Linked DNA regions of Lonchura striata. The protein of the gene in region 2 interacts with the protein of the main gene of each other region in a biochemical or structural test. Links are inferred from orthologs where the notes say so. Each region holds a gene or a part of one and is shown on either strand. Other genes may lie near its edges.

What was found.
Region 1: the proteins of RARA (region 2) and NCOA6 form a complex in vitro, tested with the Homo sapiens proteins (3 studies listed by BioGRID). The link is inferred for Lonchura striata from reciprocal best matches to the Homo sapiens genes RARA and NCOA6.
Region 3: the proteins of RARA (region 2) and TRIM24 form a complex in vitro, tested with the Homo sapiens proteins (3 studies listed by BioGRID). The link is inferred for Lonchura striata from reciprocal best matches to the Homo sapiens genes RARA and TRIM24.

The regions. Positions count from the first base shown.
Region 1 is NC_134619.1:14,165,078-14,168,818, reverse strand, and holds the start of NCOA6 (nuclear receptor coactivator 6), read right to left. Parts: upstream 2,550-3,741; 5' UTR 2,478-2,549; intron 1-2,477. UniProt on the Homo sapiens protein: Nuclear receptor coactivator that directly binds nuclear receptors and stimulates the transcriptional activities in a hormone-dependent fashion. Coactivates expression in an agonist- and AF2-dependent manner.
Region 2 is NC_134627.1:6,948,435-6,952,175, forward strand, and holds the start of RARA (retinoic acid receptor alpha), read right to left. Parts: upstream 2,317-3,741; 5' UTR 2,192-2,316; intron 1-2,191. UniProt on the Homo sapiens protein: Receptor for retinoic acid. Retinoic acid receptors bind as heterodimers to their target response elements in response to their ligands, all-trans or 9-cis retinoic acid, and regulate gene expression in various biological processes.
Region 3 is NC_134607.1:230,257-233,997, reverse strand, and holds the start of TRIM24 (transcription intermediary factor 1-alpha), read right to left. Parts: upstream 2,397-3,741; coding exon 2,006-2,396; intron 1-2,005. UniProt on the Homo sapiens protein: Transcriptional coactivator that interacts with numerous nuclear receptors and coactivators and modulates the transcription of target genes.

The DNA.
Region 1 (3,741 bases), on a different chromosome or scaffold from region 2:
TTTAAACTCCAGCAGCATTACTCTAATTAGCATGGGCACAAGACAATCTAAGTTATCTTCATCCTCTTGAGCTAAACCTCCAGCTCTCCATGCAGGAACACGCTGACTCCGTGGCTGAAATGCTCAGTTATCTGCAATTAATGGGTGGCTCCTCCTGAAGAACATCAGAGACCTGCTCCTGAGGGGACAACAGAGTCTGCAACAGTGTCAAGACAAAGCACAAAATATCCACGGCTCTGCTAAAGCAAAGGTGACTTGCTTGTCTGGCTGGTGGAAATGGAGAGACTCACCCAGAGATGGAAAACCTCATCTTCCCTGCTGCCTCAACTTGGTATCACCTGGGGTTATTTCTCCTTCCACTGCTGGTCCTCACCTATTCCCAGCCCTACACATTCTTTCTCATTCCTTCTGGTCCAGCTGGTGCATTAAGGAAAAAGCTGAGGCTTGAATACAGTTTTTGCAGCACTGAGGGTGAAGTCCTGCTGCTCAGTGCTCTACAACCAGCAGGCCTCCTGTTCCCTCACACTGTCCCTGCACCACAGCTTTGCATTTCTCAACAGAGACCACAGGACTTTGAAAGACACCCTCATCATGCCTTCTGCCCTTCAGAGGTTCGCTAGCAACCTATAAAATTTCGCCATTCTCAATGCAAACTGTTACAGTCACATTAACTCTTCAATCCCTTCAGCAGCAAATCCTTTGCCACTGCAAATCTAGTAAATTTAGTGAGTGTCTAATTGGGTGGTAACTCCAGCTTCCATCCGAAAGCAATTGCTCTTGTACTAAGAAAATAAAAATATACTGCCACTTTAAGGTTTAGTTATCACACTGAAACATTTAACATCTCCCATAAAAGCAGGAACCTTTGTTGTGCTCAGGCAGCACAAAGAGTGGCATTACAGCTGCTCAGCACAATTTACCTCCACAACCTGTATTGTCAAATATTTAAGCCACTGAAAAATGGAAACACCAACACTTCCAGATGCACAAGGACTTGGAATTCTTATGTCAGAGAAGCATCTACTTTTTTACTAGAAAAATGTTAAATTACTCCATCACCTGGAAGCCTGTTGTAAACAACCAAGTCCTACAAGTCCTCCAAGTCCTACTACAGAAGGACAGGCCTTCCAGAGAAAATGGCTGGAGAGCGCTGCTGAGAGATTTTCAGCCCAAATCCAATGCCTAACAGAAGACCCTTCCTTGGGTTTCAAATACTAAGAAATGTAATTTCTCAACTGAAGATGAGGTATGCGTGCAGCCAGCCCCTCACGTTCGGATCTTTCCTCTCCCAGGAGAGTCCGGACACAGTGTTACTATAAAACATTTCCTCTTGGAGCCAGGTAAGTTTCAGAGGAAGCCACAGGGCTCAGTGGATACTTAGAATCTCTGGCAAACACCTCGCCAGGCCCAGACCTGGCCCTTCTGAACACACGCTTCAAAACCTTTGTTTCTCGCTCCACAAGATACCTAGAAAAGCTGGGACCATCTGCTACAACTTGAAAAGAGCTGCCAAATCCAAATCTTGTGGTCATTACACTTGGTAACCTTTATGGAAGGTGCCAGATTTGTTCTTTGTGTTTGTTTCCACACACAGGAAATACTGAAAGGCGCCTTAGCTAAAAATCCAGCCAGAACAACACACAATAATTACAAGACCACCAAGAGGCACGTTCTTCTAAGAGAGGTTTTACTACAATAAAACCTCGTATAAAGGTTTCCCTACAGTTCCCAGTGAGGGGAATGATCAAACATGTGTCTATAAGGAGGCTGAGGGGTTATGGAGAGACAAAGCTCATGAAGCTCCAACCTGTTGCCAGGATGCAGAGCCACAGAAGAGCTCTGTCCTTCCATTCCCCAAAGCAGCGGGAAGGAAGCAGAGCTCTGAGCTTCCTGAGATGGTTTTAAAGTAGCTGGCATTTAGAGAAACGCAGAAATCACACGGCGAGGAGGAGTGGAGAGCCTTTTTCCGACTGGTTTAAGACTCACCGAGGACGCGAACAAAAGCGAAACGTCAACGCGCCCCGGCTGACACGGCACAAAGCCGTCACCGCCCGCATGAGGTCAGGGCAGAGGGACCGGCTCGCGCAGCGGCCGGCCCGCGGGCAGCGCCCGCGCCGGACAGCGCCGCCGGCCCGGCCGCGGTCCCTCCCGGGCCGGCGGGGCCGGGCCGAGCCGCGGCCCGGGAGCGCGGCCGGGCCGAGCGCGGCCGGGCAGGGGCGGCTCCGCGCCGGGGCCGCGGGCGGCTCGGCCGCGCGCTGACAGGCTCCGGCCGGGCGCCGCGGCTCCGCCGGCACCGCCGAGACGCCGCCGGCGGCCCGGGCCACCGGCTCGGCTCCGCTCCGCGCCCCGCCGGGCCCCGCCGCCCCTTCCCCCGCGCCGCGGGCTCGGCCTGCGCCCCGCCCGGGCCGGCCCCGGCCCCGGCCCCGGCCCCGCCGCGGCCGCGTGCCGACCCCCGCCCCGCCCCGCCCTCCCCTCACCTGGACCCGCCGCCGCCGCCGCCGGGGGCGCGCGCGGAGCCGCGGGGGCGCGCGGGGCGGGGGTCGCGCGCGGCCCGGGACTCCAGCGCCGCTCCGCCGCCTGCGCCGCGCACGTGACCCGCGCGCGCCTGCGCCCGAGCGCGCGGGGCGGGGGGGGCACCGCGACCCCCGGGGAGAGCGCGGGACACAGCGGGGACACCGGGACCGGGACACAGCGGGGACACCGGGACACAGCGGGGACACCGGCACCGGGACACAGCGGGGACACCGGGACCGGGACACAGCGGGGACACCGGGACACAGCGGGGACACCGGGACTGAGACCGGGACACAGCGGGGACACCGGGACACAGCGGGGACACCGGGACCGGGACACAGCGGGGACACCGGGACCGGGACCGGGACCGGGACCGGGACACAGCGGGGACACCGGGACCGGGACACAGCGGGGACACCGGGACACAGCGGGGACACCGGCACCGGGACACAGCGGGGACACCGGGACCGGGACACAGCGGGGACACCGGGACACAGCGGGGACACCGGGACTGAGACCGGGACACAGCGGGGACACCGGGACACAGCGGGGACACCGGGACCGGGACACAGCGGGGACACCGGGACCGGGACCGGGACCGGGACCGGGACACAGCGGGGACACCGGGACCGGGACACAGCGGGGACACCGGGACACAGCGGGGACACCGGGACTGAGACCGGGACACAGCGGGGACACCGGGACACAGCGGGGACACCGGGACCGGGACACAGCGGGGACACCGGGACCGGGACCGGGACCGGGACCGGGACACAGCGGGGACACGGGCACCGGGACACAGCGGGGACACCGGGACCGGGACACAGCGGGGACACCGGGACACAGCGGGGACACCGGGACCGGGACACAGCGGGGACACCGGGACCGGGACCGGGACACAGCGGGGACACCGGGACCGGGACACAGCGGGGACACCGGGACCGGGACACAGCGGGGACACCGGGACACAGCGGGGACACCGGGACCGGGACCGGGACCGGGACACAGCGGGGACACCGGGACACAGCGGGGACACCGGGACCGGGACCGGGACCGGGACCTGGACACAGCGGGGACACGGGCACCGGGACACAGCGGGGACACGGGCACCGGGACACAGCGGGGACACCGGGACACAGCGGGGACACGGGCACCGGGACCGGGACACAGCGGGGACACCGGGACCGGGACACAGCGGGGACACCGGGACCGGGACCGGGACACAGC
Region 2 (3,741 bases):
CTGCGCGACACCCCCGGACACCGGGATTTGGTGGCACCGTGCCCCCAGCTTAGGCAGGCTCCCAGGAGCAGACACCTGATGTACCTGGGGGGGCCAAACCGCTCCATGCCACCACCAGCACCACCGCGACCCACCGCGTCGCGCCCGGGCTGGCAGGCAGGCAGCCGTGTGCCATGTCCCCTGTCACTGCCGGGCAGCCGGGGCTCAGAGGGGACAGCGGAGGCCACGGCGGGCGCACGCGGCCCCTCGCCGGGCCCTGCCACGAGCCACCCCCCGCTAAGCCGCCTCCAGCCGCAGGGAGATTAACCCATTTTCCGTAATCAGCACATGTGTCACCGCAGATATGATCGCACCCCCCGCGCTCGCTGCGCTCCCCCCGGGGCTGGCGCTGCCAGGGGGCCCTGCGGCACAGGGGTGCCCCACGGCACGGGGCACCTTGAGGCTCCAGGCACGCACTGCAGAGCACTCACAGTTCCTCCAGCCCTGACGTGCTGCAGCAGCGCCCCAAAAAGGGCCGGGGGACCCCAGAGGCCAGCCATCCTCTTCATGGCAGCACTGGCATCGGCGCTGGATTTTGCCAAGACAGTGGCTCAGGGCACGGCGGCTCAGGGCACGCGCGGCCAAATGTGGCACGTTGTCACACCAGAACCTCCTGGATATAAATAGATCCAGAGCGGCGGGATGGTGAATCCCAGCGCCGCAGGGCAGGCGGTGGCGGTGGCACAGCCGTCCCCAGGCTCTGTGGCAGCGACGCTGCTCCTGCCACAGGGACCGAGCGCGGGGACACGGAGGATGTGTGAGGACAGCTGGGTGAAGCCAGGTGTCCCTGTGGGATGGAGCAGCCACACCAGGCGGCTCCGGATGAGGCGCAGGGCACTGCCCTGCTCCTGTCATCCCACTGTCGGTGGCTGTGTCACCGTGTCACCTAGGGGGGCTGCAAGCAACGGGGAAAAAGGGGCCAGACACCCATCAGGACACCCGCGGGCATCCCTGGTGCGAGCACCCACGGGAGCAGGCGCTCCCTCGAGCCGCAGCAAGGTCACCCCCAAGGGCAGGGTGGGGGCCCACGGGTGACATATGGCCCGGGAGCAGTGGCCGCGGGGCCGCTAAGCCACCGAGCCGTCACCCGTTAATCCCGGTGCGAGGACGCGGCGGGTGCCGCACCCGGGGCCACCGGCCGGTGCCTGCCCGGTTCCCCGAGCGGAGGGACCGGCTGGGGGAACCCCCGTGTCCCCCCCAGCACCCGCCGCGCCGCGGGGCGGCCCCTGCCACCAACGAGGTCAAAGGTCAGAGGCACAGATTTGGGGGACAGAGGCACGGATTTGTCTCCGCACCGCCCTGCCCCGGCCCGGGGCGCTGCTCCCCGCCCCCGAGGGGGGTCCCCGCTCTGTCGGGGTTGAGTACCCGGGGGACTGCACCCCCAAATCCCCCACCCCGCCCCGAGCCCGCGGGGGCTCCGCCGCCCGCAGCCCGGCCCCGGGCAGCTGCTGCGGGAGGGAGGCGGCGGCCGGCGGTCCCTTCCCCGGCCCCGCCGCCCCCCGCCCGGCTCCCCCGGGCCCCCCCGCCCGCCGCCGCCCTGTCAGCCGCGCAGAGCGATGGCTTCCTCCGCCCGCCGGCCAGGAAACGGCGCAGACGCCGCTCCCGCCCCCCGGCCCCCGGCGCCCCCCGCGCTCCCGGCCCCGCTCCCCCGCCGGGCCCCGGCCCCGCCGCACCCCGAAAGGGGAAGCGGCCCCGGCCCCCCCCCGCCGCGGGAGGATGGGGGGGGATGTGGCTGCGCGCACCGGCGGCCCCGGAGAGCCCGGTAATCCCGGGGTGGTCTCCCCAGCACCGCGCTCTGCGGCGGTGCTCCGGTCCCCGGTGGGGTGTAGAGGCTAGCGGAGCCGCCCCGGAGCCCGCCCCGGAGTGGGGGCGCAGCGCTGCCGCCCGGGAGCGCCCAGGCAGTCGGTACCGGGAAAGGGAACTCCGGCACCCCCAAGCCCAGTGTAAGAGGCAGAGGCCAAAGCCGCGATCTCGAACCCGCTGCGGCTCCGGTGCTCCCGGCAGCCGCAGCCCGGCGGAGTCCCTCCCCCGCTGCGGGAACCCCGGGATCACCCGTTACCGGAGGGGGATCCCCAGAGGCGGTACCGGAGCCGCATCAAGACCCTCCTTCCCAACCCCGCTCCCACGGGCAGATCCAGAGCCCCCTCATTACCTGCTCGCGGAGACTCCAACACCGAAATCCTTAAACCCGGGGAGTTCCCGGTGGTGGCTGCATGGCGGCGGCACCGGGAAGGAGCTGGGGGGGAAGGGGGGGCTTCGCCCCGGCTTAGAGGGGTGAGGGAGGGGTGGGGTGGGGGTTCCCGGGGGGGTTCACCGAGCGGCGGCCGCGGCCATTGCGAGTCATGTGCTCGCGGGGAAACTTTACCCGGGGCTGGGCCGGGCGGGGCAGCGGCGGCGGCGGCGGCGGCGGCGGCGGCGGAGGGCGGGGGGAGCGGGAGGAGGACACGCCCCTCCCCGTGGCCACGCCCCCGCCCCGGCCCAGCGGCCAATGGGGCGCGGGCGGGGGCGGGGCGGGGGCGGGGCCGGCGCCGCTCAGTGACTCTTTGAAGTCTCCAGAAAGCGGAAGGGGAGAAAGTGGGTGCGCGCGCCGCGCCGGCCGGGGGGGGGGCTCTTAAAGGGGCCGCGCACCGCGACTTCGATGCCACTCTTACCCTTCTTCTCCGCCCCCGACCCACCACACCACTCACAGGAGGAGGTGCTCCAACGACCCCCACCCACCCCCACCCCCAGCCCGCTTCCCTCTTCTCTGCCTCTGGATACCCAACCCCCCCCTCCAGGTGGGGGATTGGGGCGCCCACATGAGGGAAAACACAGGGGTGGGTGCTCCAGGGGTGTAGGGAAGAGATGGGAACACATTGAGGGGAAGAGGGGAGAGGGATAGGGAGTTCCTGGGTTGCCCCCCCAGGCTCAGAGGGGAAGAGCTGGGGGCACCTGTGGCACCCCGGGGGTATAGAGTGGTGCCTGTACCCAGAGGAATTCCCTGTTCTGTCTGTCCCTGGAGAGATGCTGATTCTAGGAAGGGGATGGCGATGGAGATACGGACATGGACACAGGCTACCCAGCCACATTCTGGCAGCCCAGAAAGGGCACCCAATGCCCTGCACCCACCAGCACAGCCCAGACCCTGGGAGGGCTGGGAGGGCAGCGGGGCAGGAGCTCCCCTGCGAAGGCACACATGTGAGGAGTGTAGGCAGCTTCACCACAAGCCCCGGGGGGAGTCACACTAGCCCTGCCGCCGCTGCCCAGAGCCCTGGGATACCTGTCAGGATCCCACGGTACCCACACAGGAGGGTGATGGCCCGCCAGGCCACTCAGCACATTCCCGTGCCTCAGTTTCCCCCGTGTGCTCACCAGAACGATGTTGTACACCCCGGCCGGGGCACCCCCAGCCGGGAGCAGCCGCTGGGCCCCTCCCCGCACACCGGGGCCGCGGCGGCGAGGCCCAGGCGCCGGCATGTGCTCAGCCCAGTGGAATGTGCCAAATCACTCCCAGATGTGCACGGCGGCCAGCCCGACCCCCCCCCACCCCACTCCGCTCCCACCGGGGCAGCCACCGGCCACCGGGGACCCCCGAGCGCAGCCCCGCGGCACCGAGCCCACCGCCGGCCGCGGGGCCCGGCCCCGTCCGTGCCGCGGCGTCGCGGCCCCGAGGCGCGGCGGGGCGGGCAGGGCAGCGGCGGGAGGCGCCGCCGGCACCGGGTG
Region 3 (3,741 bases), on a different chromosome or scaffold from region 2:
GTGAGTTTTTCCCAAACCTAACTTCAAATTCACAGTTTTTTGGTATTTTTTGTACCAGTTGGAAAATGGATAGTAGACAATGCACTTCAGTTTGGCCATAGCTAGCTAATACACAGTCCCTGTCATTTTAACCAAGTCAAACACATGACCAGTAAAGATACAAAAAATACTCAGGGTGAGTGTAAGTTTCTTCTTCCAACTGCACAATGAACTCTAGTATGGAAGCATGAAAGTAGCTTGGGAGAAAAGTCAAAAGGGTAAAAATAATTGTCACCAAAAGTACAGTATGTCTGCAAATCTTTAGAAGGAGGAGTATGTACTGTGAAATCATTAATATAAAGAACCAACTCGTAATCAAAAGGAGGGAGCAGAGCTACAAGCTCACTGTTGCTGTGATTCATTATCAAGCAGATGTTTGAACAGCACTGATGTTTTAATTCTTATGATGCATCTCATTTCTCATTCAGCTACAGATCCCTATTTCTGCTATATTTATAAAGAACATCTGGGAATGGACCTGTATTGTTCATGACCTCAAATCTCAGAAGACAATGATAATATTGCTTCTTACACTACCTTGCAAACTCCTGAGCTTGTATCTATACCCTCTTTCCTATTTCCAAGTATCTCACCTGAAATACCTCATTAAACTCCAGAGTTTGTGCTTTTTCTGTTCCTCCCAGAATCTCCCTCCCACTTATAGACATATGAGCAGTAACATGTCTTGAATCAATCAAGTATAAGTATACGGGCTTTGGGTCTCACAGATTTTCCCACTCTGTAACTTGATTAGGCAGTCTGACTACGACATACTTTACATGCTAAAATTAAAGACTGAATGAATATACTAACACAGACACTCGCATAGATGAAGAGGTTCAGCATATCCTGTTAACATACTTGGGAGCTCCTCAGATGTTCTGAAGCAAATCTCTAGCTGTTCCAAGTATTTCTTTCTCTGAAGAAGGCGTTTCCTTTAAGAATTTCTGCAAACACTTTACATATTCGAGTGGTAATCTTTGGTCAGAACTCTGGCAGGATGAAGAAGTATTCCTAACTCCACTTAAAGAACATAAGAATGTCAACCTGGAGCTACTACTTTTCACCTGATCTCTCACTACATATTCCAACAAGTACAACCTCCACTAATACCTATCGATTAGCTCAATTTCCATCACACTTCCTCTTTCCTAAACAAGTTTTTCCAAGACCTTCACCAGCTTCCACAACAGGACGAAATTGCCTTTAACAAAACTAAGCGATCCATTACACCCAGCCTAGGAGGGCTAGGGGGGAAAAAAAATCAAAAACATTAGGAAAGTAGCTTTAAACGGAAGGAGTTTATTCCACACCTTCTACAGCGACATGTACTTTTCAATCATATTGACAGAGGCTACTGTGTCGGCACACGAGCGTAACAAAACTTCCTCGCGGTAATTAGCAAGTAAATGGCGCATAAGCGCATCAGCAGAGCCGCCCGGGCTGCCCACGGCCCCAACAAGTGTTGTTATTGTTCGGCCGCCCCGGTCCCCGCCCAGGCCGGCGGATGACACCTGCAGGACTCCCCTCAGGAAGAGCCTGTCCTGCCGCTACGTTCCTGTGCCTTGTCATCAGATCAGCCGGTGCTCGGCTTCTTTGCCGGCCAGGGGCCAGAGCCTGCCGGCTCCCCGAGAGCAGCCGCCCGGCCCGCGCCCACCGCCCGCAGCGGGAGCCCGGCTCTCAACGCCCCGGTCCTGAGAAAGCACGGGAGTTCTGCCTTCCCTCCCAAGGTGGGAAATTTAAAAAACAGCGATTAAAACAAACCGAGCCACAGCACAACCCCGCCGCCAGCCTTGGCGCTGGCGAGCATCTCCTATCCCGGCAGCTCCGCGGCCGGACACCCGCACCCCGCCCACGGCACCCGGTCCCGACAGCTCCCGTCCCCACACGGGCCTCCGGGCTGGAGCGGGCAGCACCCCGGGCAGCGGCAAGGGGGTACGGGCAGAGAGGGAGAAGGGTCACTTACTGGGCGTGCAGTGCATCGGTGAGGCTTGCGAAGAGACGGGCGAGGAGGGAGGCGCCGCCGGCGGCGGCTCCTTGAGGGCGGCGGCAGCCGCGGGGGTCAGGACGGGGGGCAGCATCAGGTACCGGTCCGGCGGCGGCAGGCAGCGCTGGCACACCGAGTGCAGGCACGGCAGCAGCTTCGGCCGCCGGCTCTGGATGGACTGCCCGCACACGCCGCAAGTGTCCAACAGGTTGAGCGGCGCCGCGTCCCCGCCGCGCTCCGCCGGGCCCTGCCGGCTCTCGGCCTCGTTCTCCCCGCTCAGCGCCGCTGCTGCCCCCGGTCTGTCCGCCGGGCACGGCCCCCCCGCCGCCACCGCTACCGCAGCTGCTAACGCCCGCGCCGCCTCTTCCATTGTCCTGCGCCGGTCGCCGCCGGAGAGGCGAAGAGAGGCGGAGCAGCCCCGCCGCTTCCCGCCCGCGCCGCCGCCGCCTACCGGCGCCTGCCCCGCCGCGCCGCCAACGGACGCCCGCGCGCCGCCAACGGACGGACGCTCCCGCTCCGCCCCGCCCCGGACTGCCCCGCCCCGCCCGCAGCCCGCCCCGACCCGCCCCGCCCCGCTCCGCCCCGCCCCGCTACGTGCGGCGAACGCTGCCCCGCCCACCTCGTCCCGGGAGCCCCGCCCTCTCCTCGGCACCCGCGGCCGCTCTCTCTCACCTGGGCGGTACCTGGCTCTGTCCGGGTGAGAGGAAGGCTGGGAAGTTCCTCTTGAATTTGAGGAAAAACTTCTTCACTGTGTGGGTGACCGTGCTCTGAACCCTCGGGTTGCACAGAAAGGGTGTGGAGTCTCCCTCGCTGGAGATGCTTAAGAACTGTTTGGATACGGTCCTGTGCCATGTGCTCTAGAATGACCCTGCTTGAGAAGGGATGTCGGCCCAGATGACCCACTGTGGTCCCTTCCAACCTGACTCATTCTGTGATTCGGTGAGACGTCTTTGTCCCTTGGACAACACATTAAAAGAGGTCACCCTTCTCCCTGCCCTACGTGCAGGTGAGAGGCTGTGAGTCTTGGCCTGTATTTGGCTTGGCCGATCACAGCAATACCACCACATTACCTGACTGAAGCTATTTGGTGATTGGTACAATTAAAAAGATACAACAGAAAAGTACAATTCTTGTTTAGACAGAACATTGTATTGAATCAAAGGCCTTAAGTATTGTGCTGGTGAGACATTGGAGAAGGTTACCCAGAGAATTGTGGATGTCCCAACCCTGGAAACGTTCGAGGCAATGTTGGTCCCATACTGAAATCAGACAACAAACTTTCTAACACAATTTTAAGTATCAGACAACAGACACTCTTTATTACCGTGCTGGACACATCAGAACGATAGCTCTGTTAATCTGATGTGCTTCCAGAAGGTACAAGTTATTTATTCCATCATGATCATACATACTGATTACAGTGTACTTCTGGCTAATACATAAACATCACTTTTCACAGAACTAGTTTGCATGCATCTGCCTTCTTCTCTCCTACTCAAAGCCTTTTAATGTCCCTAAAGGGTAGTCTGAAGGGGTCTTTGTACTCACCAAGTGCCCCCAATATTACAGATGACCTTTCCTTGAACTTCTCTTAGGGCATGTACTGCTGCTTCTTTTGAGATAACTTGGCCCAAGAAGCCACTATATTCCTCATTATCAGTTTATCTACTGGTTCGAGCCCATTTATCATCCTGTGTGCACACTTTCACATTCTT